4 linked regions of the Lonchura striata genome follow. The protein of the gene in region 1 interacts with the protein of each later gene in a pairwise test. Links are inferred from orthologs where the notes say so. Each region holds a gene or a part of one and is shown in the gene's direction. Other genes may lie near its edges. The genes, in order: RALGDS, RAP1A, RAP1B and RRAS2.

Region 1 (7,323 bases):
GGAGCAATGTGGGACAGGGAAGGTGCCCCTGTCCATGGCAGGGTTTGAACGAGACAATCTTTAAGGTCCTTTTCAACCCAAACCTGTTGGAATCTAAAAAACCCAACCTCCCCAAAAAAAATCTATGATTCTGCTACGGCCAAGGGGGTGGTGTAAGGAGTAGGATGGAGGAGAAATATCCCTGCAAGCTCTGGAGTCTCCAAGGCTTGTGGAATAATTGCTGAGCTTCAGGACCGGCAGCCTCGGCAGGAGCTGCCGTAGCCCAGCTGTGCACAGGGGCTGCAGGAAATGAAACACAGAATAGCTGGATGGAGACTTTTAGATCCTGATTGCCTGGGGATTTGCTGTGCTTCCTCTGCTAGGAGCTGACAGTAATTAGGGGCTTGCCTGGCTGTGTTAATGCTTGCCAGCACAGCGTTCACAGTGCCTGATCTGTCAAAAACAGCCCCGAAAAACGCCCAAAACCTGGAGGCAGAGTGACCCAACTGCCCTGGGTCTGAAATACTCAGCAGAGAATCTCCTAAAATCCGTGCCTGCTGTAAGCTGTGGCAAGTGGTGGGTGGCTCTCATCTAAAATCTGGTTAAATCAGGGCATTGGTCATGCTGGGAGTGAGAAGTGGGTCTGTGAGGGTCTGAGATCTGTTGGTCCCCAAATCTGGGGGAACCCAGTCTCACATCTCTTACAGATTGTATGGACAGAGCAGTGACAAAATTTTCCCTTCTTGCACAAGCTTTCCCCCTCATCCTGAAGTGGAAGAGACAGTACCGGTTGTTTACTGTTGGATTATTATTATTACTATTATTATTATTATATTTCTTATAAAACAACCTTCCAGCTGAGTCTGAGCAGTGAAAACAAAAGTATTTTCCAATTAAAATTGGAATGCCCAAAAGATTTTGATCTAGCATGTAATACCTAACCTCCAGCTAGTAATTCTTGTAACTAGGTATCACTTTTCCTGCAAAATGTCTTGAAAACAGCAAGAAAAGGGCTTCTCCAGCTGCACAATAGAAGGAAGTGCTAAGGGCTCCATGTCAGAGCCCGACACAGACTCGCCTTGTGAGCTGGTGCCAGAGCTGGGACAGAGGCTGGACAACATTGCAACTCCCACATAAAGCAGCCCAGTTCCCCTCAGAGGCTGCAGATTTGGGTCCTGGCTCTCTTGCTGGTCCAACAGTGAAAGCTGGAGGTGTGTGATGTTCCAGAGGGGCTCAGTTAGAGGTGGTGAGGGTGATTCCTGCCTCCTCTGCTCAGGGCTGAGATCAGCTCTTTGCAGCTCCTGGCGTCGGTCCTGCTGTGGTTTCACTGAGGCTCAAAGGGAACAGGGGTTTGTTGGGGTGCTGGCAGTGCCCTGGGGGTGCTGGCAGTGCCCTGGGGGTGCTGGCAGCACCCTTGGTGTGCTGGCAGTGCCCTGAGGATGGTGGCAGTGCCCTGGGGATGGTGGCAGTGCCCTGGGGGTGGTGGCAGTGCCCTGAGGATGGTGGCAGTGCCCTGAGGATGGTGGCAGGAGCACTGGGTTGTTTGCAGGCAGCTGATGCCAGGCAGGAGCAACTCCTGTGGAAGTGTTTGTGAGCCATGCTTTGGGGTGGGCAGCCTCACTTGATGGCAAAATAAACCAAACTCCACAGCAACACTGAGCACAGGAACTGGGTCGCTGTGAGTTTTGCCCTGTTGGAAAGATGCTGGAAAGCCCCACTCAGCAGCAGAGCAGGGAGATGAAAGCAAAGGAGGGCTGGAGGATGCAGCTGAGGGAATGTTCAGACACCCTGTGCTGAGGAGAGACAACTCGGGGTCCAGGCTGAGCCCAGTTATTAACTGAGTCTGAATCTGCAAGTCCTGACTATAACAGATTGATTCCCAAACCAGAAAACTGGCTTAAAGTTTCCAAAAGTTTATCTGTATTACCCTCTCCACGTTATTGACCCTGCAGGAAAGGCTGGAGACTGCAGCAGAGGAGCAGAGCTGCTCCAGTGTTGGCTGTGTGGGTTTTTATTTATCCAGCCAAGAGCTGATTTCAGAGCGGTGGGAAGACAAAAATCGGTGGATTTCCCACAGCACCCAATTCCTGGGCCTGCCAGAGTCGATGGGACATTTAGAGATGACAAGGAAAACTCAGTGCGTTGTGAAAAGTTTCTTGCTGAGTCTGCCAAGTGCAAATTCGCAGTATATTTTTTTAATGAGTCACTCAAGCATTGATCGTTTTCTTAAATCCCCGAAGTCACGTGCATGTCAATTAATCACATCTTGCAACAATTTCTTGACCTTCAAGGGTGCTGGAGGGAAAGCTGAGGCTGTGATGCTGCCTGTTCCCTTCCACCTGTGTGCTTAAAGGCAAACAAGAAGCCCTGAAAAGTTATTTGCTTTGAATCTCATGATTTTCAAGAGCCTTGCCCCTGACAGCCGAGTGTTTGGGGTTAGCTGGGCAGAGCAAACATCCTGAACTTGGGCTCCTGACCCCGCTTTGAGTGTTTTGCTTTTCAGACCCAGAAGGTTCCCCAGAGAGGAGAAAGGAAACTGACTGGCTATTTTTAAACCCCCGCAGTTGCCTTCCTGCCTTATATTATTTATTATCCATTATCAGAAGTGTTTTTCCCCTGAAACCATCTTTAGTGGTCAACCGGGGGACGCAGAAAATTGCCCATCAAACAGAGCTGCTTCTTTCTGCAGAGGTCAGACGCAGCTGGAGGCTCTGGGAGGGCTCTGCCAGCTGCAAATGAGTGCTGCTGTTGTTTGCTGTGTGCACTCCCGCCGTGCCAAGCGAGTCCAGGCCTGGGCTGTGATTACTCTGCCCTAAGACTCAAACATGAAGCAAAGCAGTCTCCCTCTCAAATATTTCACAGCCCAGAGAGGCAGCAGTGCTTTCTGCTGGAAAACCAGGTCCCTAACTCTGCTTTTAGCGTGTCCCGAGCAGAGGGATGCACAGCACCGAGTTTCACAGCACATCTTGCAGTGCCACATGGTTCCTGTGTGATGTGGCAGTGGGGCTGGGGACACCTCTGCAGGGAGTGTGTATTGCCCCCCAGAGATGTGGGGCAGTGCAAGGCCCTGCTGCTGGGCTGGGTCCCCTTTCCCAGGATGTCCAGGAAGTTTCCTTTGACCTCTTTGGCTCCAGATAAAGCAGGACAATAACCCACGTTGTCCTGGCTCATCCTTCTGCCTGGTAAACTTTCCAGTTGGAAGCTATCACAGCCTGGCAGCTTTGTTAATCCCTTCCTGCCCGGGCAGGAGCTGCTGGTGCCCTGGGCAGAGCTGGACATGTGAGCCTTGGCTCCATCCTCGCTGGAAATCAAGCTGCAGGGCTGGAAGGCCCTGGGAGGCCGATGTTATTTCAGCTGCAGAGGGAGCTGAGGCATGAAAGTCCGGGTTTTGGTGGTGTCAGCAGCAACTGGCCGGGCCCTGTGATGCAGTTTCTGAGCAGTGTGCGAGGAGGGAAGGGGAAGAGCAGGGGAGGGTTGGAGCACGCAGTGCTCGGCGCAGGGGGCTGATGGATGACAAACACTTCAGCCCGTTTCTCTCTGCCTCTGAAAACAAAATGATGTTGCAGGGGTCCTCTAAAGTGGGATCTGCAGCCCTGCTGTCCCCCAGGCTCGTTTTGCTTTCCCAGAGTCCCTGCTGGGCTGAGAGCAGGCGCTCTAATCCCTAATCCCCCCTTCGCCTGTGCATGGGGGGCCTGGCGGTGACTCACATCACTTCATCCCGCAGGGCTGTGACCGTGTCACCGAGCCCAGCCGTGGCCAGCGAGGGGCTGAGGCTGCTGCTGGGGGGCTGAGATAACGCTCAGATGAAAACACGTGCTGACGGCATCCACTCGCCCGCAGTTAACACTTTTTCTTTGCCTAGTGGTGCGCGAACCCCAGGTGCTTCAGCAGCACCTGGTGACACAAAGATCCTCTCCCAAAGCCGTCGTCACCTGTGTGACTTTCCCATCGGCGGCGTTTCCCCCGCCCAGCTGGGACTGGAGCTCTGACCACCCCCGCAGCCCCCCGAGCATCCTCCCCGCTTTGTGCGGCCTCGGGGCTTTTCTCGCCTCCCGTGTCCCCGTCCCCCCTCCCCGAGGGGGCCGAGCCGCGCCGGGCCGGCCCCCGGGGGCGGGCGGAGGCTTCGGGAGGAAATCCAGCGCCTGCTCCGCAGCCGAGCCGGCTCCGTCCCGGCCCCGCCGTGACATCGGGCCGCTGCTCGGGCGCGGGGGCGGCCGCGGGCTCCCGGTGCGTGCCGCTCCCGCTGCGCTGCGCTGCCCCCCGAGCATCGCCCCCACGTCCCCGCTGCGGCTCCCCGGGCAGCCGGGGGGGCTGGCGGGGCCGGCGGCGGGTTGCGGGGCCGGGGATGCGGCGGCCCCGCCGATGGTGAGCCGCCGCCGCGCCCCGCCGCGCCATGGCCCCGCCGGCCCCGAGAGGATGTTCGAGGGCTGCCGGCGGGCGCGGAGCCTCTGGGGCGGTGTCAGGCTGGAGGTGGCCGGCGAGAGCAGCCCCGTGGTGCTGCACAGCTTCACGCAGCTCGACCCCGACCTGCCGCCGCTGGAGGTGAGTGCGGGGATTTGGGGGGTTTGGGGTGCTGAGCGGCCCGGCCCCGCTGCGCGCCCCTCGGGGGGTTGGGGGGCTCCGCCTCGCTGGCAGCGCGGGTAGGGCTGGCCCGGAGTTTGTGGGCATCCGCGGAGTGTTTCGCAGAATTGCGTTACATAGAATCACGGAGCGGTTTGGGTTCGAAGGGACCGTAAAAATCATCTTTCCCCACCCTGCCGTGGGTAGGGATGCCTTCCACTACCCCACGTTGCTCCAAGCACCGTCCAGCCTGGCCTGGAACGCTTCCAGGGATGGGGCAGCCGCAGCTTCTCTGGGCGCCTCACCAGCCTCACAGAGATTTTCTTCCTAATATCTAATCTAAATCTCCCCTCCTTCACCTTAAATCCTACCACTGCATGCCCTTGCAAAAGTCTCACCAGCCTTCTTGCAGGCCCCTCTAGGTGCTTTAGGTGCTTCATTTTGTTGAACAAATGGGTGCCCCTGCTTGGCTTTTTTTGCTGTGAGTCCCTGTGCCCCTGGGGACTGGCAGGCAGCTGCCAGGCTCGGCAGGGAGAAACCAGATGCTCTCCCTCCAGGCACCCAGGGAAAGGGGCTGATTGTTAAAACTTCGGGCTTTTAATATTTCATTTGAGACTTTGGCTGCGGGAGGCAGGAGTCTGCTCTGATCTGAGCTGTTCGTAAGGGCTTCAGGCTTGTCCAAACCACAAAAGTGTCCTCTGGGAAGGTTACGGGCATTGGGAGGACTTTCCTGGAGGATGCAAAAATATTTGTGCTTGTTTGGGTTCAACCTCGGGTGCTTCAAAGTCAGGCTGGTCGCAGCGAGGCCCGAGTGCTTTGTTGATGGCAGTTGCATGTGGAGGCACCCGAAATAATCTGAGTCAGAGCTGGGCCTTTTATCTTAGTAATGGATGATCGTCATCGGTGCGGTGGGAGTGTCGCTGATCGGGAGCAAACGGTGTGTCAGGAGGGGCTCAGCGGGAGGAAGGTTTTGCCGCTCAGAAGTCGCAGCCCTGGCGGTGCAGGGGTTAATACCAGCGAGGGTCAGCAAGCCTGGCTTTGCTGGGATTTGGAGCCAGCTGCAGATGTGCTGCTCTGGATGCTTCCCGCTGGAATGGGGGCGGTGGAGGGGGGGAATGGCCACTAAATCCTCTCTCGTTGCCGTGCAGATATCCGCCGAGGGCAGCCAGCCTTTCGGGGAGGGCAATGGCTCCTTCTCCCAAATAATCAACCCCACAACCTGCCATGGAAAATCCTGGTCAGGAAGGGATGAGCTCAGGCTCCGGCTGTTCCGCTTCACCTCTGGCCTGGTGGCAGAGCTCATCAGCTCTGTGAGAGTTCATGAAAGCTCCATCCAGCTTGTTTTCCCCCCCTCTCCTCTCCCCGCCCGTCTCTCCTCTCCTGGGGGTGGGCGTACTGACATCTTTGGAGTGCATCATCTGGTTCGTGTTATGCCTGGCAGGAAGTCCAGCCTCGGCCCGCGGCGCTCCGGGAGGCTGAGGGGCCGCGCTTTTGGCTGGGAGAGCAGGAGCAGGAGGGGGAAAAGAGGGAAAAAAGGGGGTCATGCAGCGTGCTGCCCCCCTCATCCCATGGGACAATGTGCCCTGCCTGGAGGAGGCTCTGGAGCTCAGGAGAGGCTTTGGAGCATCTTGGGCGATGCTGTGCTGAGAGAGGTTCATGTTTTGTGCATGGCCCCCACTGGCTCTGAGCAAAGCCCAGCTCACCTGAGCATGGCACGGGCACAGCTGCCAGGCAGAGCTGCTCCCGAGCTCTCTGTGCACGGGCACAGCTGCCAGGCAGAGCTGCTCCCGAGCTCTCTGTGCCCACGTTTCTGTGGGTTTGTGCTGGTGAATGGTCAGATCCGCTCGCTCAAGCGTTCCTCCCGGTCCTGAACAGAAATTCCTTCTTTTTTCCCTATTTCCAAGTGATGCTGAGAAAAGGGGCAGCCCAGAGGGGTGCACTGTGTGACCCACAGCCTCCTGAGCAGCCTTGGTGCTCATTGCATGAGCGGGGAGAGGAAAAAATGTGTCACTGTTGTGACAACTGTGGTGGCCTGGTGGGGTTGCAATCCTCAGGCAGAGCTGCGGATGCACACTGAGAGGAGAAAGCAGATTATTTGAATAAGATCCCCCGGGGACCATCAGTGTTTTGCTGAGCCCCAGTGACAGTCCCCAGGACACGGTGGGACCTTTGTCACCTCAGCCAAAGGGAGCTGTGCTGGATTTTGGCAGAGCTCGTGGGTGGATAGTCTGGTCCCACAGGGAATGGAGGATCCCTGGAAAGCTGCTGGGCAGGCTGCAGGGAACGTGGCTCTCTCTGGTCCTCATGGCTCTCTCTGGTCCTCACTGAGACCCCAGGGGATGGCAGCAGGGAAGACTTTGCCTGTATCCCACAGCAACGGTATCGATCAGCAGGCATCACTGTGAGCCAAGTGCTCTCACCAGGATTTTAACCACGGGGGATGGAAAATTTAAACCAACTGTGTCTCAACTGGGGGATTGATAGAGCAGCTTTGCAGACCTTTTGTTTTGACCTTTTCAGTTCCAATCCACTCCATATTCAGCACTGAGTGTCAATCCTTCCAGTCCAGCAGGAGCCACAGGGTGAATTTGGTGGCCCTCCTGGTCCTGCTGGCCAGGAATGGCCCAAAACACCACTGCAGATGACACAGACTGAAACTTTCATGCAGCTGATGTTGCTGAACCTCTGAGGAGGCTGGGCTGACTCATAAAAAAAAAAGCCCTTATAAAAAAAGTCCTTGTAGTTCTGGCTGTGTTTGTTTTCTGAACAATTAGGAGATTTTCA
Region 2 (7,808 bases), on another chromosome or scaffold:
TGCAGCTGCCTCTGAGCAGTGAGCACAGTTTGTCAGCTGGAAGAATAACACTTGTTGCTGCTCACGTTGAGCTCTCTGTCCCAGTTTCTCCTGCTTGAGGCTGGGCCTGTCCCCGCAGGGCTTGGGGAGTTCCAGGCTCCTCTGGTTTGGGTTTTTCTTGTGCAAATGCAGCAGCTCTGCCCCAGCCGTGCTGCCAGCTGTGGATGGGGTTAGTGGGGGCAGAACCAGGCCCTGGGCTGTGCTCTGGGGGCTCTGTGCAGGTGCCTGGGAGCGCCTGGGAGCTAAGCCAGGAGAGGTGCCCAGGCTGCTGGCTCTGCTCAGGTTCAGCTCTCTGAGGGTCCTTTCCTTCACAGGCTCCTCTGGGAGGAAATCCAGGCTGCTAGAGCTTTGGACAGGGAAATTCCTGCTTGCAGAAAGCAGAGAGCGAGCAGCCCGTTGTGCTGCTGTCACCCTGAACCATGGGAATCCCTGTCCATGGCAATTGGCAGCTCCCTGCCGTAGCTGAGCAGGGGAAGTGGGATTTGTGCTTCCTTCCCCAGTGAGTTTCACAGCCTCTGATGGTATTTATAGAGCCCTTGAACCAGAAACCCCGATCAGCCTCTGCCTTTCTCCTGACTCTGCAGAGCTGCAGACACCAGACAGACTCCAGGCCCTTCTGGCATGCTCACAAGGAAGGGAAATGTTTGGGAAGCTGCAAAAGAAGCCTCCCTGCATCCCATGTCCCTTTCGGAGCCACAAAGGAGGAAAGCCCAGGCTTGCTGGTGGTTTTGGTAGGGGAGGTCTTGTTCCTGCCTCCTCACCCTTTCTGCAGTCCCGGTGCTCACATCCTTAGGGCTCAAACCTGGAAAATACCTGAGTTTGCACTGGGATCCAGCCTTGCCTGGGATTTCAAGGGATTTAGGGACACTGGATGGGCTGGGGAGGAGCATGGCCCCAGCACTGCTGCCCAGGAGCAAAGCCAGTGCAGGCTTTCCCTTTGGAAGCCTGCTGGAGCTCTGCAGAGCCCTGCCTTGGGACCAGCCACCCCTCCCAGACCCCACAGCTCCCCTCTAATCTGCCTAATTGCCTGGTAGCTTCCCAGCCAGCCAGTGGGCTTGGAACAAAGCCAGCCTGCAGTGGGAGCAGGGATCAGGGATGGGGCTTCCAGGGAATCTGGTCCTGTCTGCTCTGGGAACAGCTCAGGCTCGGAGCTCTCCTGCCCTGCAGAGCTGGGGAAGCTGGGCTGAGTTAAATGATCCCTTCTGCTCGGCAAGGACAGCGTGGGAGGTGAGCTGTGAGCTCGGTGACCCTCAGCCAGGGCAGCTGCTGGCAGCCATGTGCCTGCTCACTGCTAATTACATCATTAGTCATTATTCATAATTATACACTGCAATCTCATCTGGAAAGAAAATATTATGCTTGCACTTCAAAGGCTTGTGTTGAGGTCTTTGGAATGAGCGTTTTTCTCTTGATTCTTCCCTGACTAGAGTTTAAAGAGTGATTATTGTAAGTTTAGAGAGCACCAGCTCCTTCCTTGTGCAGCTTAAGTTCAGACAGGAGCAGGATGCAGTCAGCACCTTCACTTCTGACAGCCAGGGCACAGGATAACGTGTAATTAGCCTGCATGGTGTCAAACCCACTTTCATTTACTTCCAGCCCTCTGATTCTATCAGCCAGGAATCCAAGGTCATTATGCAATCACAAATTGTTTCTGAATTTCATTAAATCAGCAAATGGGCCTTAGCTACATATTTACATCAGCTGAACTTGTGATAATTTATCCAATTGGGCAATTATTGTTTTGGAATAAAAGAAGTCCCGAAGGATTCTGCTTCATATTAATTTGCCTGCAGAAGACTCAGTGCAACCTCGGCAACTCAGCTGCAAAAGCAGGTGAAAAGTTGCAATCCTGTTGCAGGTTCTGGGATAAACAAGTGTTTTCCTTTCAGTCTTTTACCACTGCCATACAGCAGGAAAAGGGGAGTGAAATCTTGGTGTAATTTAATATGAATGGATTTAGAGTTCAGGAAAGAAGCTATTGTGGCAACTCCTGCTTTGTACAAACAGATGGGCTGTGAGAAATGACACCTTTTGCAATAAAACTGCACAGGGACGGGTCACTGGATTTCTTGGGCTGCGTCCAGGACATTACAGGCTGTGTCCTGTATGTGACAGGGTGCAGGGAATCGATTCTCTGTGCTCACCTCCTGTGCTGCTGCTGAGCTGGTGTGCAGTGGAGCTGGGGCTGGTGCAGGTTCCAGCCCTCCAGGCAGGTGTCCCTGCAGTCATGGACTTGCCAGAAGTAGGGAAAGCACCCAGGAGACACAGGCGTGGATGTCACTGCCTGCTGCCAGAGGGGATTTGCTGACCACAGCCCACTGCTGGGCGAGAGCTACGGAGCAGCAGGCAGGAGGGAGAGCTCTGGCTCAGGGGCTGCATCTGCCCGAGCGAGGGCAGGACTGGGAGAAACGGATCCAGATGTTTGCCCTGCACGAGTCACTAGGAAAAGTGCCTCTGAGTTCACTGAACTTGGCCCTGCTTCTCCTCTTCTAATCATTTCATAGCCAGGTTCACACTCATCCAGATCTAATTTCATGTACTTGCAAAGCCTGACTCAGCAATAAATGTTATCAGCCTCCACTGAAACCTGCAGAAAACGGGGGAAGAAGTCAACCTTCCCAGAACACACATCAAAAAGGAGCTCTGTCTTGCTGAGTCAGGCCCTCACTGTGCCTGGACCCTTATTGTTTTGAAACTTGGAAGATGGTCCACAAGCCATGAAATAGATAAGTGTGTGATTCTTAGATACAATAAAACTCTTCAGTTGGTGTTCAGTGGGAAGAGCTGCAAATGTCTTGATATCTGGGGCAAAGCTTGTTAAAGCTTTAATTTCAAAGGAAATTTGGGGTGAAGCCTTCAGAATGCTCAAATGTACACTGAGTCTTTTAAAGGAATTGCATCCCTTGCCGTTTCTGCCCATAGGAATGTGTTTTTACACAGCTTTTAAAACAGAAGTTACTGCTGATTTTGTCCCTGCCTGTTTTCCAGACACAGGCAATGTTTTTAAACATTGACCTAGTAACTTCCTAAGTTCATAGATTTCACGATAACATTTGTACTCTGAAGAAACGAGGTGCTCAACCACGAGTGCTGAGCATCCTTCAAGGCAGATGCTTTTGCCACCCCGACTGTCCCACTGTGCCTGAGCCTCTCAGGGCTGAGGCTGCCAAATCCTGCAAAGTGTGGAAATCTTTTGCTGACATCGCCCTGCCTCCAGCGACTCCAATGCAGCCGTGATTCACCTGGCTCCCAGCACGGTGGTCCCCAGGGAAGGAGACACCTCTTAAGCCATAAAAACAGGGATTTACAGATGGGTATCAGCAGCCACAAATTGTACCTGGAAGCAAAATTGTGCGCTGTGTATTTATTTCTGCTGCACGCACAGAGCTGTGAGAGGAGAACTGGAGCACTTTCAGTTACAGAGGGTGAGTGGGGACGCTGAGCTCTGTGTGCCTCCTGGCTGCTCACTTGCTGGGCATTTTGGATAAGTCATTTAATCTTTGTTTTCTCATCTGTACAGCCACACAAGTAATATTTAGCATTTTTGTTGGAGTTCTGGATGAGAGGCAGCATGACTGCTAAAATATTGTTGCTGTAGCGTGTGACCTCAGGGAATCTGCTCGTGTCCCTGAAGTTTTGCAAGCGGCGGTGGGGAGTGTGGGGAGGCCCGTGGGTGTGCTGCTGCTGCTGCTGGCACCGTCCTCTGCAGGAGCATCCCCAGGGACAGCCGCAGTGCTCCTCCTGTCCCCGGTTACGTGAGGAGGTGACAGTGCTTGGAGCTCGAGAGATCCCTCTGCACCTCGTGGAGAGCGGGCATCGCAACCACGGAAGCTACTACAGCTCCTCTGGGGTATTTATGCATTCTTAACAAGAAAAAAAGCCCCTGAACTTTATTGACTGTTGACATTAGGTTTTCTGGAGTGTGCAGTTTGGAGCTGAATTATAGTTGAAGTTGGGGCTAATGAGGCCATCTCCCAGATCAGCGACTGTGCAGGACTTCTGACCTGATCCTCTCTGTCCGGCTGCCGTCACCTACAAACCTCGGTGACAAAAACACCATCAGGACCTGTATGTGCCGTTCCCTCTTCCCCAGTTTTATCTGTTTCGTGTCAATTACATGTGCACTTCCGTGTTACAGCTCTTTCTTTTCATAGTTTTCTACAAAAATAAACAAAACACTTTGAAGTGCTCTCCCGGGTCGGAACCGGGACGGAACCGGGACAGAACCGGGACGGAGCCGGGACGGAGCCGGGATGGAACCCGGACGGAGCCGGGACGGAGCCGGGATGGAACCCGGACGGAGCCGGGACAGAACCGGGACGGAGCCGGAACGGAGCCGGGACAGAACCGGGACAGAACCGGGACGGAACCGGGACGGAGCCGGAACGGAGCCGGGACAGAACCGGGACGGAGCCGGGACGGAGCCGGGACGGAACCCGGACGGAACCGGGACGGAGCCGGGACGGAACCGGGACGGAGCCGGGACAGAACCGGGACGGAACCGGCTCCGCCGGCCGCGCACCCCCGGGACAGAGCCGGGACGGAACCCGGACAGAACCGGGACGGAACCGGCCCCGCCGGCCGCGCACCCCCGGCCCGGCCCGAGCCCCGCACCTGCCCCGGCCCTCCCGGAACTCCGGCCGTCCCCGCCCGCCCCGCTGGCTCCTCCCCGGGCCGCGGCCGCGGAGGGCGGAGCGGACGCGGCGCCGCCGCCGCGCAGAGCAGCAGCGGCAGCGGCAGCGGCCCGGCCCGGCCCGAGCCCCGAGCCCGGCCCGCAGCGGCGGCGGAGCGGCGGCGGGAGGCGGCCCGGGGGCGGCGGTGAGCGGGGGCGGCGGCGGGCCGGGCCGGGCGGCGGCGGGCGGAGCGGCGGCCGCGGCCGTCCCGGCGGGCCCTGGAGGCCGCGCGGGCGGAGCGGGGCAGCGGCCGGCGCGGGGTCCGGCGGGGCCGGGCGGCGGCGGGGCCGCGCCGGCCGCTCCCTCCCGCGGCCCGGCCGGCAGCGCGGGGAGGCGGCTTGGCCCCGTCCGTCCGGCCGGCCCCGCCGGTCCGTCCCGCATCCATCGCGTGCGGCCCCGGGCGGGCTGCGCGCTGCCCGCGGTGCCGCCGGGCTCGGGATCAGCGCAATTGCCGCGGTGGCGGCGGGGTCAGGTGTGTGCGGTGCCCCGCTGCTCCCCGCGCTGGGAAGGGGCGCGGGGATCGTGCGGGGCCGAGGAGCGCCGGAGTGAAGGGACAGCGAGGCCGGAGGCACGGAGGGTGGGCTGGCACAGGCACGGCAGGACGGGGCACAGCCTGTACGAACCGGCCTGATGGGCGGCAGGAGGTTTGGGCAGCTGGGACAAGCCAAGGGGCAGCCCCCCGTGAGCCACGTGGAGCAGCGGGCTGGCCCATCCTCATCCTCCCCATCCTCACCCTCCTGTCCATCCCCATCCTCACCCTCCTGTCCATCCCCATCCTCACCCTCCTGTCCATCCCCATCCTCACCCTCCCAGCCCATCCTCATCCTCCACTCCCAAGGACTGGTTGTGTCAGACCACCTCAGCTCTGAAAAGGGTTCTTGCACTTCCTTCAGTCGCTTTAAAGAGAAACTGTGCTCTGTGTAGGGAAGCTTTGGTGTTTAGATACTTCTCGTTAATTGGTGCCTTTGCTTGCGATATTTGAGGTACAGGGCATGTGGGTTTGGTGCAGGGATTCCTGCGAAGTCTCCTCGGTGGGAAGGTTGGGGTTTGGATGCAGTGAGCCAGTTCCCCCTGACACAGAGCTGGAATTGGGTCTTGCTTTGCGCACAGCTTGGAAAGAGCTGCAAACAGGAAGGGCAAACGATGAAAACTGCGTTTTTTCCTTTCAGTAGCTTAACAGGGGAGATAATATATCTTAAAATAGTGTTTGACTTGAAAACGCCTGTCTGCCTTCGGAGTATTGTACCGGCACTCTGTAATTTCTGCTGCTGTTGTAATTCTCTCTGAGTAGTTGTGTTGCTCCACGCAAAGAGACACCAGATTATTTGAAGACTTGAGGAAAGCGTCTGTTCAGTTGACAGTGCCTGTCTGCTGTGAAATGTTTCACTGTTGTGATTTGTGTCATTGCCTTTTTCATGCTGAAATGGTGTGTCAGTAATTCTCCCTGGTGTAGCGGATCCTCGGATCTGAAAGGGTTTTAATGCGGGAATTTGTGAGACTCTCAGGAAGTAATGGATGAAGCTTGTAGAAACAGAGAATGGTGCATTAGCAAAGCTCTGTGCCTTTAATGAGAAGTTATCCAAAACCAGGCAAGTTAAAGGGAAGTTCCAGATGGAGCTTTTGTGGTCTCCGCAACTTTCTGAATTCACAGAAGCGATATATTTCACAAGTATGAAATGCTGTCTGATTATTCTGACATCATTATCACGTTGCTATAGTGACTTCATTGCGCTGGGAATGCCATGTTCACATCCGGTTGCTATGGAAAAAATCAGTGTCATAAATAAAAACATTTAATGTTCTGTTCATCCCTGCGGCAGGAAAAAAGGCATCGATTTATTGACGCGAGTGAAGACTGGCAACATATTCCAACAGAAGCGCTTAGTGCCAAGTCACAAACTGGGAAATTGTCGCTTGCCGCTCTCGGCAGATTGTCCCTTGCCTCTCTGTGTTGTGGCAGGTAGCAGAAGTTGTGAAATCCTGGGTTTGGAACGGAGGGTGACAGAGCGTCTGTCGTTCTTCAAGGTGGAGCCGGCAGGAAGTGCTGCGCTCGCACCGCTTCTAAAAATAATCTGTTTTTATGCACAGCGTTGGCGTGCCTCGCAGGAGCAGAGCTGCCCCGCTCAGGGCAGCTCCTGCACGGGATGGGGCTGCCCGGGAGCTGCGGGGCTGGGGAGCCTTAGGGCCAGCCTGGGATGGAGCTGTCCCAGGCCAGAGCTGTCCCACCTGGGCTGTCACCCCGGAGCTGTCCCAGCCGGGCTGTCCCACCTGGGCTGTCACCCCGGGCTGTCACCCCAGTGCCCGCCAGGCCGGAGCTGTCACCCCAGGCTGTCACCCTGGGGCTCCCCGGAGCCCAGCGCTGCCTGCCATCACGTGTCCTGGCTCTGGCGTGGCTGTTTTTAGGGTAAGTAGCTTTGCTGAAGGTTCTGAGAGGATCTCCTGCCAAACGGGCTGAATTAACTCGCACTGCCCAAGTCCAGCACAGGTTAATGCTTTTATTTGGAGACTGGTGTTTACACAGGGCATCAGAACAGTTTATATGTGAAGCCATGAGCTGCAAATACACGGACATAGGTTATTAGTGATACATTTCGTGGCTGCTCGGCCAGTCTGAGGACTGTTCTTAAAAAAACTGAAAAGTAATTAAATGGCAGGAGGGCAACATGTGGATGTGCTTGAACATTAAAGTTGTAATTGTATATTGAATCATCGTGCTGGGCATAAACAACAGCAAGCACTTGTTTGTACTTTATATTGCAGTGCTTTTTCTCGTACCCTGCACGTGCACAGCGCACTCGGTGGCACTTTGAACTCGTGCTCAGTGTTTAGAGAACAGATTGCTTCTGTGCAGCTTTGCAGACTTAAAAAAATCATCTTCAAGAGGAATCCTAATGCTCTGACAACAGGAACCTGTTATCTGCTTTCCTAGAGAAAACAAAGTGTATCTTTTGAACATACATAAGTTCAAACCTTTAGGCTTTATATTTGAAGTGTTTTTTATGTGTAGCTGTTTGAAGTTCAGGATTATCCTTGATCCAGTGTTACTTTCAACCTTGCCAAAATCAGCTTAGCTGGCTCTGGCTGTGGATGCTGATC
Region 3 (7,479 bases), on another chromosome or scaffold:
GTAATGGGGTGGAGAAGGACATTCTTGGGAATAGTGCGGAATTATAAATGAGGAAACTGTTGGTTTACAGCTTTATACTGACACATTGTGATCAGTCATCACAATGCCATTGCATCCAGCCCTTTTATGGAAGACTTTGAAGAACTATCCAGGTATCACAGCAGCTGGTGATTCAGAAAGTAGTAACCACCTTTCTGCATCATGCACTGCTAGAAATGTTCTCTTGGAAAAGCAGGGAAGTGAAACTTCTGAAGCTTTGAAACTGTGAAAATTTGTGTGTGACTTTCAGCTTTTTTTTTGAGAGAAATAATCACCCATATCCTAGACAGATTTTCCTCCAGGTAATTATATTCATTCTCTATTTTCAAGTAGATACATTATTCTTAATTTAAACTTTTAAAGCACTTATGTTGCTGTGACAATCTTGTTCCTTATCTGATGAGCTAGTTGTCCAAAGCAATTTGAAAAAGGATTTTCCACAGAGGATAAAATAAAGTAGGCTTTTCCTTTTACTAAACGAATCCTAATTTTTAAGAGTTTAAAGTCCAAAGCTTGGGACATTTTCTTGAATTCTTCTGCAATTCAGAGTACTTTGCTTTCACAGCACCTATGTTGTGAAACAGCTATTCCTTGCTTTATCTGGAGTAACTGCAGTGATATAAAAGCAGTCTCCCAAAGACAGAAGAAAATAGATTAAAAAATTAGATACCTGTAAATAAATGCTGACATTTACAGTTTAAATTGCAGTAGTGTCCATTGCCTGTTCTACACCAGCTTAATAAAACAATAGCAAATTTTGCATCTCAAAGCAGTTATCACTTTGAGGGTACGGAAGGAGACAAATCACAAGATAAAGGGAGGACAATATTGTGTGAACAAATAATAGGATTTTGGCCAAGGATAAGGAAAAGGGCTAGTTCAGTAAGAGATTTTGGCAGTTAAATTGAAGAGTCATGGAGCATCACTCAGAGATAAGAAAAAGCATTAACTCAAGATGGTTTGAAGGAGAAAGAGGAGCGAAGTGACAGAATTTTCCTCAACAATGAGGTAAATGCATGGAAAGTGAAAAAAAAATTGAGAAAAAAGTCTTCATATTAAGTTTCAGTCAAGCTTGTGATTAAACCAATATTTAAACACCTTTGATTAACAAACAGCAATATATCAAGAAGATGCAATGAAGAGACATTAAGAAGCAGAACTGCATAATGGATGCTATGTCTGAAGGGAAGATGATGAACAAGTAGAACTAATAATTATCAGGTGAAAGAGTCTGGAGGGGAAGACACATCCCTGAAACATCTCAAGGTTCTATCCAGACAGACAGGTATTCCCACTCTGTGTGACTAAATCTTCTGAGTATGGAGAAATAACAAATAAAATTAATTTTGAAGGATACAGAATGAAAAAACATTTCACATATCTATGTCACAAGAATACGTTATTTTTCTTTAGTGTTAAAGAAGTTTTCTCTTTATTGCTCTCATGATCCAAAACACATTCTAATCTAGTAACCATTCTTTGCTGGAACAGCCGAGTTGTAAAGCTAAGAATTGATCCCCTTCAGTCCATTCCCCTTAAAAGATGAGGAATTTGCTTCCCCTCTGAAAGTAAAGCATCCTATTAGGATTTGCCAAACAGCGTTTCTTTTTCCATCGTGGCAAATTTCTAGAAAAGCTCACAGATAGTTGGCATGCAGCCAGCACTGTATTCCCTGGCACTACATACCCTTTTAACTTTAGTTTGCTGGCAGAAGCCAGCTCTGCATTCTGTCCCAGAGATGGCTGTGTTTCAGCAGTAATGAAACTGCAATACACATACTGCTACATTCTTCACTCCAACACCCATGCAATCCCAATGAAAACAAAGCAGGTAAAGTCAGGAAAATTACACAGAGGTGACCAAAGGCTACCCTGACAAGCTTTTATTAAAGAATAATTTAAAAACTATTACTTTGTTTTCTGCAAATAATCTGTCAACCCCCACCTTATTCCCCCACTAATTCCACTGAACTTTTTAACAAGATTAGTCAGTATTTTCCTCCTCATTTTCCATGAGGAAGATCTTCTTCATGAGGGGGTCACAAGAGCCATGACATTATCAGGTAGCTCATTGTGTTAGTAATGAGCAGACTGAAATACCTACAGCTAAGCACTGGTCATTGAAATAAAAGGGTTTTGAAGTACATGCAGGCAACTGGTAAATTGGGAGACAGAGGTTACAGCACAAAGGACAAGTGTTACAGTGCTTTAGGAAGGTCTATTTGATATTAAGATTCATGTGCATAAGCAGGTCTCAGTAAACAGGCAATTGAGTATTTGACCTTCTTCTTTTAAAAATTCCAGATCAATGCTGGGCATGGGCAGCCCCACTAAAGCAAGCTGATGTATCTGTGTTGTTCCTATTCAACACAACAGTGCTGCAGCCGTATCCGCCTCATTTCTCCCATACTCCTAGCTCTCTGGGGTGTTGCTCTGTCATAGGGAAACCTCAGCACTTGTTAGCAGCCTGAGTGACCGTCAGCGATCAGGCAGGTAGAAACTCTGAGCAAGCTGAGCAGAACAAGCCCCTGTGAAGTACTGGGTGAGTATGCCTTGTTAGCACACCAATTGCTCTTTGCCAGTCACACTGATATCAGTAAAGCCGGTTTAAGAATTGAGCTGAGGATTAGCTAGATGATTCATAGGAAAATCCAAAATTAAAGGCCCAATTTATATTAAAACTATGTGGCGGAGAGAGTTGGGGAGAGGGAACACTTGGTCTCTTGCTTAGAATGAATCCTAATTGACTATTTTTTCTGGTTACAGAGATCGATTTCCAAACATGTCTAAATTAAGCAAACCATATATTTATATATGTATATATACACTTCTTGTAAAATACTAGGTTTCAGATACTCCTATATGAAACTCAGAACACCACGATCTGCTCACAGAGATTTAGTCAAGACTCCAAAAGGCCACCTTCCTCTTTTCTTATTGTATAGCAAAGAGGAGTTTTTGCCCCAGAGCCTATAAAACACAGAACAATTAAAGGCACACTGTAAAATTCTATCACATTAATGACATGTATCTGTTCCTGGAACACTGCAAGTTATTTGTGATTAACCTAGTTCACTGAAGAAAGTTCTGAGGGTTGAGGATATTTATTTTATTCTTTTCCTCTAAATATTTCTGGGTGCTGATAACAGTTATCTAGTGACAGGACAAAGTAAGAATACAAGTATTTTTCTGTCTGGTGAGCTAATATGCTACACAGCTAATAATTGCATGAAATGCTCTTCTGATTTTCATTTGAAAGGCTGTATTTCACCTATTCATCTCATTAATGATTTTTGTCCTGCACAGGATGCCTTGCCAAGAAAGGACTGGTTTCTATGGACTTCTCACAAGCAGAGCTGCCTTGCATTATCCTCATTTACGGGGATTCATTATCAAAGGACTGCACACGGGTTTAAGCTGTAAAACACCAAGAGATTTGTCTGGACTTTGGAAGAGATTTTATGACATTCAGGATTTGGGAGCAACACCGTAAAAGAAAAAATATTTTTTAAAGTGCATTGCTTTCTGGATGCCCTGTATCTTGATGAAGTCTTCCCTACCAAGGGCAGTTCATTTCCCTGGTCATCCTTTGACCCTGCTCTGAGCTTTAGCATCTCCCACAGATTCTCTTGAACTCATACGGTCTCATTTTCTATCTCTGTCCTATAGACAGAAAGCCACTGCTTCCTCCACACCCACTCTCCTTGCCAGAAGCCTCACTGCAACTTCCTGTCAGTTTTATGCACTCTTGTGCAAGTGTGGAAGTAACGTGGACTTCCTCAGAGCACAAGTTTTGTCTGAAAGCACCACGTTAACTCTTTGCTTACTAAGTGTTTCCTAGAAACATAAACGCTCATTTATTTTTTTAAATCTTTATCAGCTAAATATTTTGTAACTGGAAAATATGGGTGACGGCGGGGGGGGCGGGGGGGGGGCGGGAAACGTGATTTATGTATTTAGGACTAAAATAACAGAAAAGCTAATACCCTGATTATTTGCAGGCACTGGGAATCCTGCTTTGTATAGGCAAGACTAATGAAAGGCTGTTCATATCCAGAGGCATACTGGTCCACATCAAACCAGCAGTATGCGGCATCTCTGAAAAGCCCTTCACCAGCGGGTCTCAACACCTCTTTAGAAATGCAGGCAATAGTGCAGTGGCATTTACTTTTCCAGCTCTTTACGTTCTTAATTAACTTTACGCAACCACGAAGCGCTTTCGGCGCACGCTCTCCCGCCCGGCGCGCACGGGCAGCCGGCCCCGGGCCGCCGCTCCCCTCGGCGGACCCCGGCCCCGGGGTGGGGCGGGGCGGCCGCGCGCGTGCGCAGGGGGCGGCGCGCGGGTCAGCCCTCCCCCCGCCCGCCCCTCCCTCCGCCCCCGCCGCGCCAGAGCGAGGCTGGGCGTGCGGCGTCACGGCGACGGCCCCGAGCCGCGCCCCGGCACAGGCGGCGAGCGGAGCGGAGCCGAGCGGAGCCGAGCGGAGCGCGGCGGGCGCAGCGCAGCGGGATCGGCCGGCGGGGAGCGGAGGCGCTGTCCGGTGGGTTGCGGCGGGCAGCGCGGGCCGGGCCGCGCCGCTGTGGCGGGGAGCGGCGCGGCGTCTCTGGTACAGGTGGCGGGGCGGGGTGGGGTGGGGGCGGCGGCGGCGAGAGGGGGGTGGCGGCGGCGACGGCGGGGAGCGGCGCGCTCTGAGGGAAGGGGCAGCAGCCCGGAACGTGGCGGAAGTGGAACCGGGAGCCGCCGCCTCGTCCGGCCTCAGGCGTGGTGGGACCCCGAGGGGGTGGGGGGAGCGGGGCGCTGAGGGGCAGCCGTCGCGGCCGGGCCCAGGGCCCGGCCCTGCCGTCCGCCGCATCCCCCCCGCCCGCCGGTCCCCGGAGCAGAAGTTGGAGCGGAAGCGGAAAGTTGTAACCCCGCGGGTCGGGGCCGCGACGTGGGGCCCGGACGGCCGCGGGGAGGGGCGGGTGACGCCCGGCTCGGCCCCGCCGCGGGCGGGGAAGGGGACGGAGCCCGGCGGCCGCCGGCGTTGTCAGCGGGAAGTCCGAGGCGAGCCCCACCTAGTCCGGCCGCGGGAGAGAAGCCGCTCGCTCTTTCCGGCCGGTGTGTGGGGGCGAGGCGGGGGGGCAGGCCGGGCGCGGCTTGTGCCTGGGGGGGCCACGGAGTGGGACAAGCAAACAGCGCGGGGGCCTGCAAGTTCCCTTCCTGCTTATCACAAAATGAAAAGGAAATGACAGGGATGTTCGCCTCGTCTAAACACCCCACCATCACCCGTGTCAAAGCAAATGGAAGAATTTGACTGACACTTCCTGCGCCAAACCCGTCTAATGAGCCTGAGGTCGTCGTACCCTTCTGTGTGCGTTGGTGAAGAGGTGGTGGAAGGAAAACAAAGTTTGCAGAGGAGAGAATAAAACCAAATCTGAATGTTCTCGCATTGGCCCTAGATTACAAAAGAGCATGAGAAACCAAGGTTTTTGCAGAAAAGAATACCACGCTTTTACTCCTGTTTCCATCTTGAAGGCATGGATTATGCTGCTCAGGGTAAACGACACAAAAAAAGGAAGGTCTTTCTCTGTACTGCTTTGGGATATGATAGTAAGGAAGTACACTTCAAAGAGAGGGTATGTCAGGTATGCCCAGGTTGAAAATCATACAGGTTTCATACGTGTTCTTGCATTTAGACGTTTTGATTAGTGTAATTGTAATTTTCCGCACATAACAGCTACATCTTACCCCAGGATGAGATGTGTAGACAGTGTATGACAAAGACTTTTCAGTACTTTTTCACAATGAAGTATATGTTGAAATTACTCTTATAAGAAAGGGAGACAAGAAACACTCTTCCTTTCCATGAATTATAATTAAAAGGCAGTGAAGCAATCACATTGCCTTTAAGAATAACCATTCAAAAACAAGTGTATTTCGCTTTGGAAAGAGTCTCTTATCTCTGTGAAAAACTTGAAACTTTAACTTACTACTTTTTGGATGATTTGCCTCTATATTAAAATCACAAGCTTTTGGGAGGGGAAGAAACCAAACGAGACTTGGTAGAGTTTAATATTTTCATTTCTATTATTCATTGCATCTTTTTTTACTTTTGCTCAAAATCTATCCTGTAGACTTTGTGAATAGTGAGGGATATTTATACTATTCACATTAAAAGCTTTGCAAAAATTAACTAATTAGATGTGATGTTTTATTCCTTTGGTACCTCTGTTTCTTGTAGCGTTATGAGCTACTTCAGGTTTAACTTAGAGCTGTAGTGTAAAACCATATTGCTATCTGTACCCAAGTAACTGAGTTTGGAATTACACTGTGCAATATAAGTGCCATGCCATGTATCTTTTTTGCAGCAAGGATGATCATACTTGGAGCACCTCTCTGCCTAGGAGTGAAATAATCTGTTAAACAGAGTTGAAAGACCAAAAAAAAAGTAAAACCAGAACTTTTAAATGGGGGGGTGGGGGTGGGCAATAGACTTTTTACTGTCTGTACCTGTGCTTCTATTACAATATATGTGCACCAGATAAGTTTTCTGAGTGGAATTAAAATTGTGCTATTTTGTTCCAAAGCTCTCCTGTAGGACAGTTCATCAAAAATAAATCTGAAATGAGCCATGACAGTTCTTTTTGTGCTGTGCCAGTTTTTGCAGAGTAAAACTGACTGTCTTTTTAATTGAGAGCCTTTCTGGAGCAGAGGCAAACAGATGGGAATCTAGGTGAGGTCCTACAAAAGGAGAAAGAAATTGCTTCTATGGCTGAGGAAGGAAGTGTGCTGAAGGCTACACTGTAGCTTGTGATCTCGCAGTTAGTAAATGTGACAAGGAACTAAAATAAACAGTTGTCCACCTATCATCTGGGATGTGGGAAGTGCAAGAGTCACAGAAGTACTTGAGTACTTGACGCTTACTGCTACTGTGCCAATCCTGTCATCCACAGAGCTCTGCTGGCTGCTCAGGGTTAGGTACAGAGAGGTGCTCTTAAGGATAAGAATATCTTACCGATAAAAACAGGCACTCTTGTCCTTGGATGTATGCTGAGAGGGTAGGCGGATCCTTTGTGAATTGGCCTAAGTAATGCTTAGATGACTTTCAGATACCTAGCTGACATTTGAGAGTGTTCGTCAGGTTAGGCTCCAGTTGGGAGTTTTAATCAAATTTGCTCCCTTAGTAAAACAGATCACTCAGCACAAGCTGTATGACACAAGTCTGTGTTTAGCTTGTGGTTGTGAATGCTGCCACTCCTTTACCTCAGAACTAATCCAAAAGCAGACCGAAGTGCACTGTGTGGTGTCAGTGTGCCGAATCCCTGCTGAGTTGGGGCAGGCTTCTGCTGTGTTCTGTTGCATCTAGGTCAGGTAGAGGGATATTTTAGACAGCCTCCTTGTTCAGAGAGATGAAAGGAGTATCTACAGTAACTACACCTTCTTATTTCAAGACAAACTTTGTTT
Region 4 (7,070 bases), on another chromosome or scaffold:
CTTACTACAGACTACTTTACTGGAATAGGTAGATGTAAAAATAGATGAAGATTTATAAAAAGCTGTAGTTACTTGGCTGAAAATAGTTTTACTTTTTACTCAGATAGAAACTAATAAGTGTGTCTGAGGAGAAACAGCTTATTTTTCTTCCTGTTTCTGGGCATTCATTGCTCATTAAATAGCTTATGTTTTTTGTATAGACAAGAAAAATTATCAGTTCTTTTCTTCTGAATTAGGTCTTACTTTCCTATTCCAAGGAAAACCAAATTTTTTAATGTCTTTTTTTCTCCAAGCTTTTTGTTTTATGGCTTTGAGAAATCCAGTTTCGTCAAATATTCTTATGGTCAAGAGTGGAGTCTTTGATGGGAATTGCAGCACATGGATGTCCTTTAGGTGAAACTATCCACAGGAGAGGTGATGCTTATGTCCTGTTTGAGCAAGGTCAGTAAACAAGGGATAAGAACATATATAATCCTAAATCAGTGGTATAACTCAGAGTTAGAGTTACCTGCCACTTTGACTCATGTCCCAAAGATTTTTGTAACTTTTTTCTGTGCTAAGCCTGAGAAGAAGTTTTTTCTAATTAAGCTTTTAGGTTCTCACGGAGCGCTTTTTAGCTTTCAATATGTCACTTACTGCATACACGTCTCCTAACCTTCCAAACCCACTTCTCTGCAAGGCTGCCAATGTAAAACAAAGTTCTGGATCTTTCCCTCAAGCACTTCCTGAAGTATTTTTTTTCCCTGTCATTACATAAAGCATTATGGTGATCTTTCTTTTAAGCCTGCCATCTGGATGTCATTCTGATTTTGTCTCTTTTTAAATATGCATATTCAGACTAGACCTGAAATGACGCAGCTTCTTTCTATGCAATGCTTCTAAAAGCTGTACTTTCTTTCCCAGCTGCTTCATCAAAACTTTGGTCATGGCTCCACCATCTCAGCTCTTGGTTTTCGAGTTCTTCCTCTCTGTTATGAAATCCCACATTTGCTACCTCCCCAGGGATATGAAAACTGGTGCTGCAAAATTTATTTTCCTGGCTGCATGGAGCACTCCAAATCCTTTTTGCATCATCTTGCCCTGCTGCCTCCTATCAGTCCCAAGTTTCTTGTCTTCACCTGCTGGGTAAAGTGCGTCACCAGTCAAGCCTTTCCCAGGTTAGTGGATCTTGAAATGAATCCTGGAGTGTGTAGCTCCCTCATCTCCATATCTTTATTCACATGTATACTCCTTGTATTCTGAAACCAGGGCTCACAGCAAGGGCTGTTCCTGAGGGAAGACAAGGTGTAGGGACTGGCACTTCCAGGGCTGGACCTGCCCTGGCTGCCCTGGTTTTAGACTGTCTCTATACTTGATATTCTCTCCCTCTACTTGTGTTTATACAGCAAAGAGCAAACAACTCTTATTGACATCTTTGGGTGCAGTTACAAAACTACAAAGCCCATCACTATTCATTAATTGCAATCCATCTCCTGTTTTCCTGTGAGCACTGCTTTGTGCTTTGAAAGAATATAACTCTATTTATAAAACTAGATTTCAAAATTCACAAATGCAAAGATTTTAACAGTATTTTTTTGCAATAGACTCTCTTGATCATAATAGATGATTGTATTACTTTAACCCATTGTCATATCTACCAGTGTCATTTAAAGAACAGCAAGATTTTCTTGCAGAATTCATAAGATTGGATAGCTATATCAGTGACAATACTGATACTGTTTTCAGAATACTAAATTTGTTTTAATTTATGAATGATGAAACTGAAGTCTAAAAAATAAGGGATAATAAAAATGTTTGGCTTCCCATATAACTTTGAACCAAGACTGAGATATCCTATTTCAATAGTTTGCATAGAGATTTTTGTGTCTTTAAAACTCGCTAAAAATCTGCTTTTCGTGTCACTACCATTCCTGGCAGTAGAGTTCAGTGGTCACTGTACTAATGGCCAACTGTGAGATTGTAGCTGTATTTTGATTAAAAACACCCACTACTTGATAAATTAGCTGCAGTTTCACTTCCTCACAATCTGTACTTTTGATTTTTTCTTAGGCTAGAGAATGTAATTAAGAATTAGGGACTTGTCCTGCTGGATTAATACTCACAGTGGCCAGTGATTGATTTGTAGGTGAAAGAACACCAGGACCAGGACACGTGGGAAGAAAGTGGGTTCTTTGTTCAGCAAACATGCCTCCGGGCTGCCAGTGCTTTAGGGGCTTCCCGAGTCAAAACTGTGTCCCTGATCGCTGTGCTTAGTAGCTGCTTTATGCTTTATGCTGCTTTCTGCTCTGCGACTTTGTCTAACCTTTTGTCACTACCATGCAGTTTCATTTTCCACAGCCCCTTGCGGCAGAGATTTCCACAGTGCCATTGATTGTGTCTGTGGAAAAACAGTATCCTTTTTTATCCTTTTTTGTTTGTTTAAACTTGTTTCTTCCCACTATCACTGGGTGTCCCTCAGTTCTCCTATTTTGAGGCTTTCTCTGTTCAACTTCCCTACGCTGCTTAGGAATTTACAGACCTCTGCTTTATCTCCCTCTCACTTATCTTTTTTCCAAACTGGAAAATGTTAGGCTACGTATGCTTTCCTGTGTGAGTTGTTCCTTATTTTTGATCGGCATGTGCAATAAGGAAACGGATGTGAAAAAGCAGCTTATCACTACAGGAGAATACCGAGGCAACTGAGCCTGAGCTGTGGCATTCCTCTTCCAAAATACTGTTGTGAGTCCTGGGGACAAAGTATCTCCTTCTCATACACTTACACCATTAACTCACAAAGTAGCAGTTTGTTTCCTGTGTGTCGGACACTTCTCCCCTGAGACAGAATGGGCGTTGAAGGATGTTGTTCTTGGTTTCAAAGTTTTGGGGTTTTAAGCAGAGAAATTCAGTTAATGAATTGCAAAGCTCAGCATGACAAATTGGGTAATAGTGGAATTCAGGAGTTTTGTTTGTAGGGAGGAGGAGCCTCGCTGATGTGATTATGCCGTTCAGCAACATGATAACAGCTCTGTCATTCTGTGCTGGCAAACGGATGTACAGGTGTGTAAGATTAGACATACGTGGGGTCGTTGCTTTATATCTTCACAAAAAGGAGAGAGGAAGCGAAGAAGGAATTCCCTGAAAAATCCCTGAAAAGCAGAACTTCTGCTTCGTTGTATTATGACCATCTGCCGAGTGTTGGGTGTGCGGAAACACCCTGGGCAGTAAGGTATTACCCAAAGGGGAAGGACACTACTGGAAGATCACAGCAGCCTGTCCCCTGCAGAAGCGGTGGAGATGCAAAGGGTGAATTCACCACGCACTGAAAGCGGAGTGCTCTAACCAAGTGCAGAGGGGGCTGAATATGGGGCTGTGACATCCAGCGGTGGGTGACGCTCAGAGGAGAGGGTGGACTTGATCTGAATGGCTTAAATGAGTGAGAAACCTATTCACGTGCATGCTCGCAAGGAAACATGATGAAGAGTGGCGAAGGGCTTTAGTCACTATACCTTTTTCCCATTTTTCCCTCTTGGTGGGAAGCGACATTAGCGACGCTTTGGCTTTAAACCTCTCCGCGCCTTGGCTCTGCGAAGGGTCACCAACACCTCCCTCCCCATCCCGTGAGCATCCAGAGCCTCATGAATGTTGATGAGGCACTCAGACGGGCGCCCCGCCGGAGCCCGTGGGGACACCGCTAATGAGCTCCGCGGCTCTCTGTCTGCCGGGGGACACCGGGGGACACCGAGGGCCGCCGCCACCCGCACGCCACAAACGGCGGCGCGCCGGTGCCGCGGGCGGGCATCATGCATATGCAAGAGCTCATTAGCATGGCGCTGCGCGGGCCACGCCCCCTCAGCGCGTTCGTACGGCGGCTCCCCGCTGGCCCCGCCCCCGCATACCCACCCTAATTAGCATGCAGATAAGAGTGCCCCGCCCCTCATTAGCATGGCGGCGCGCGGGCCCCGCCCCCGGCGGCCATTAGTGCCGCGGCGCCCTGGCTGCGGGGGCGGGCGGTGCTGCGCGCTCCGCTCCGCTCCGCTCGGCGCTGCCGCTCGCACGGCGGCCCGGGCGCTGCCGCTGCCGCTGCCGGCGGCGCTCGGCGCGGCGGGGCCTGCGGCTGCTCAGCCCCGGCGGCACGACGAGGAGAGCGCCATTGAGAGAGGCGGGCGTCGGACCCCGCGGCGGCGCTGCCGCGATCGCCCCGCTCGGCTCCCCCATGGCCGCGGGCTGCAGGGACGGCCCGGGGCAGGAGAAGTACCGGCTGGTGGTGGTGGGCGGCGGCGGCGTGGGCAAGTCGGCGCTCACCATCCAGTTCATCCAGGTGAGGGGCCGCGGCGCCCGGCGGGGAGCGCTCCGCCCGCCGGGGCCTGGGCGCTGCCCGGCGCGGGGGGGCCGGGGCTGGAGCCGGCGCGGCGGGCGGCAGCTCCCGGCGGCGCCGTGGGATGCTGCCGGCGGGGCAGCGGGAAGCGCGGGGCGGGGAGGCGGCGGCGTGACCTTGAGGGGCTCGGGGCGGCGGCGGCGGGGCCGGTGCGAGCCCCCGGGAAGGTTCCGGAGGGCGGGAAGAGGCCGCCGCCCCCGGCCCGCCGGGCGCCGCCGCCGGGTGGGGTTCGCCGGCCGGGCGCGCTGCGCTCCGGGCGCCGCGGCGCTCGGGACCGGCGGCTCCGGTGCGGCGGGCGCGGCCGGGGAGCGGTGACACCCGGCGTCCGGCTCCGAAATAGCTGCCCCGGGCTGAGCATCTTGTGGTGGCCCGGCAAGGGGCCGGGGAGCTCCCGCGGCTCCCCCCGAGAGGAGGAGTGCTTGGTGCACGCTGTGCGAGCTGGGACCGGCCAGCGCCCACCGCCCCTCGGAGCGCCTGCTGTTCATCCTGCAACTTGCAGACAATTGAACTTTTTCGTCTATTCGTATTTAGTAAAAAACACTCCAGAAAAGGCGATAGTAAGAGTGCGTGTCAGTGTTACGAGGAAGAGCCCGTTTTACTGTTTCGCCACGAATTCAGCCGTACCTCCTTTACTTATTTTCATCCTCTGCCCTGTTGCTGTTAGCTTTTCTACCTCTGTTTATGGTGGTAGGAGGAGACAACTACTTGCGTTCTGCTTGATGCTCTTGCTGACGGCAGAGCAGCAAATCTGGAGAGCATGGCTTCTTGTTTGTTTTCTTTTATTCCACTGTGGACAGCCGGTAATGCTCTACCTACTCCTAAGATGGGCTGCTTGACAGCGGGGCAGATTTGTCTTTTAATGCTTGGGGCAATGATGTTCTCCACTAATATTTTGTTACAACAAAATAGGTGTTGGGTGATCTGATAGCAAATAGACTATTTCTTTATTTCAGTCGGTTTTTTCATTCACATGTGCATCCATGTGTTCATTAGCTCAACTACTCTGTTAAAAATTTAAGCTCTGCAGCATAGACTAACTACATAGAAGACATTACTTTGAATTTTTTGGGTAGGTACTGGATACTAATATGCTTATAAGATCCAATGTTGTAGAGAACATTAAAAGAGAGGACCCTTTGGGAGAATCAGTTCTTTGGAACTAGTTTAGTTTGACTGGTGCCTTTTGAGGTGTATTGCACAGGTGTCTTTTGTCAGATGTGTAGGTGGCTGGTCAGTTTTTGGTAGAATACTGGCTGGTTGGTCTGTTTGAAGGTGATGGGGCTGGAATAAGTGCAGTCCTCTCAGTGTGTGGATTGAATTCCTCATTGCTTGCGTATGGAGATTATGAAACCCGGAGTTTTCTGCAGCTGGTTTAGGGTGCCATTCACTCAAGCATGGCGCTGCTGCTGTAGGTGGTGTTGCCTGTGTCTCGCTGTGGCAGTCATGTGTGCATCTGGATGTGGCTTCAGTTCTCTGATGTTGCTGTTTTGGGAAATGTTGCTGAAGGGATTTCTGGATTGAGGCAGCATTGAGGGCTTTGGGATAACTTTACCTTTGCAGCTGTAATTTCTACTAAAGATGTAAGAGGGGGAAAAAAAGGGAAGCTCACACTTGATGTCTTTGTATAGCCATTTTTTTAAGAGCAGTATGGGGTTCTGCTGAGTACTGAAAAGCTTCAATATTTGAGTACTTGTAGAAAGTAATTCTTCAACCTAATAGTTTGAGCTTACATTAAATATAAATATAAATTTTGGGCCAAGTGCTGTGACTGACACTTGCCTTTCAGCAAATATCTGCAAAAGAGGAACCCGTGTCTGTTTTGTCACATATAAGGATCTTTTCAAATTAACAGCAGAAAAATAAATAGTTCACTTTGAAAGAGTGTTGAGGGAACAGCACTGTGGTGTTAAGCTGACACATTGAGGGTGAATTCTTCAAAACAACTTATTGTCAGTTTGCATTAAGTTATCTCCATCTTTTTGCCCTCTCGGCAGCTTTATCCTGAGATAAAATCTTGCCACTGCAAAGTGAAGTTTAGCAGAAAATTCAGCTTAAAAATTCCCCAAACAGCCCAAAACAAAATTGAATAAAAATAGCTGGGAAATAAAGACCAGGGCAGTACTTCAGGTACCTTAGAGAAGAGTTTTGTGTTGTTTCCGTGCTTGCTGTGTGGTTGTGGACAATAAGAGATGAGGTTTGGTATACTATTTATATCCCACAGCGTCTTCCTGAGCTCTTAAAGCTGTGATGTTATCAAGTGTGTGCTTTGCCATGCAGGCACCTGGGTAGTTTCTGTACAGCTAGTGTATTGCCAAATACGTTGTTTGTCTTTTAAGGCTGCACAGAAACTGCTCCAAGTTGTTTTAAAATTGATTACAAGCAAGTCACGTGCTTCATTTTTGGAATTTCTTAGGATTAAGTGACAAACGTGTAGTGGCCTTCACTAAAACATGGATCAGTACTAGCTTTTGCTACATGACAGATTCTGATGTCAGTGGAGGATTTAAATTTTTTTGCTTCTTTAGTGCTTGTGTTTAAAATAAGGCTGTCACCAACTGAAGCTTAAAAAGGAAAGCTTTTTTCCTCTTACTGATACTAGCAGATATTTCTACATTTGGTATTGCTTTCCTTTTTAATTTTCAGTAAATCAGTATTCAAATACAGCTTTTACTTTGGTGCTGATTGTTTTCCAGTAAATCAGACTTTTGTGGTGATA

Evidence for each region.
Region 2: the proteins of RALGDS (region 1) and RAP1A interact in a two-hybrid assay, tested with the Homo sapiens proteins (3 studies listed by BioGRID and IntAct). The link is inferred for Lonchura striata from reciprocal best matches to the Homo sapiens genes RALGDS and RAP1A.
Region 3: the proteins of RALGDS (region 1) and RAP1B interact in binary tests that used the Homo sapiens proteins (3 or more experiments, as listed by UniProt). The link is inferred for Lonchura striata from reciprocal best matches to the Homo sapiens genes RALGDS and RAP1B.
Region 4: the proteins of RALGDS (region 1) and RRAS2 interact in a two-hybrid assay, tested with the Homo sapiens proteins (2 studies listed by BioGRID and IntAct). The link is inferred for Lonchura striata from reciprocal best matches to the Homo sapiens genes RALGDS and RRAS2.

The regions. Positions count from the first base shown.
Region 1 is NC_134624.1:7,653,423-7,660,745, reverse strand, and holds the start of RALGDS (ral guanine nucleotide dissociation stimulator), read left to right. Parts: upstream 1-4,317; 5' UTR 4,318-4,341; coding exon 4,342-4,521; intron 4,522-7,323. UniProt on the Homo sapiens protein: Functions as a guanine nucleotide exchange factor (GEF) activating either RalA or RalB GTPases and plays an important role in intracellular transport. Interacts and acts as an effector molecule for R-Ras, H-Ras, K-Ras, and Rap.
Region 2 is NC_134632.1:5,464,884-5,472,691, forward strand, and holds the start of RAP1A (ras-related protein Rap-1A), read left to right. Parts: upstream 1-4,793; 5' UTR 4,794-4,857; intron 4,858-7,808. UniProt on the Homo sapiens protein: Counteracts the mitogenic function of Ras, at least partly because it can interact with Ras GAPs and RAF in a competitive manner. Together with ITGB1BP1, regulates KRIT1 localization to microtubules and membranes.
Region 3 is NC_134607.1:44,334,343-44,341,821, forward strand, and holds the start of RAP1B (ras-related protein Rap-1b), read left to right. Parts: upstream 1-4,464; 5' UTR 4,465-4,576; intron 4,577-7,479. UniProt on the Homo sapiens protein: GTP-binding protein that possesses intrinsic GTPase activity. Contributes to the polarizing activity of KRIT1 and CDH5 in the establishment and maintenance of correct endothelial cell polarity and vascular lumen.
Region 4 is NC_134608.1:50,467,085-50,474,154, forward strand, and holds the start of RRAS2 (ras-related protein R-Ras2), read left to right. Parts: upstream 1-4,070; 5' UTR 4,071-4,192; coding exon 4,193-4,297; intron 4,298-7,070. UniProt on the Homo sapiens protein: GTP-binding protein with GTPase activity, involved in the regulation of MAPK signaling pathway and thereby controlling multiple cellular processes. Regulates craniofacial development.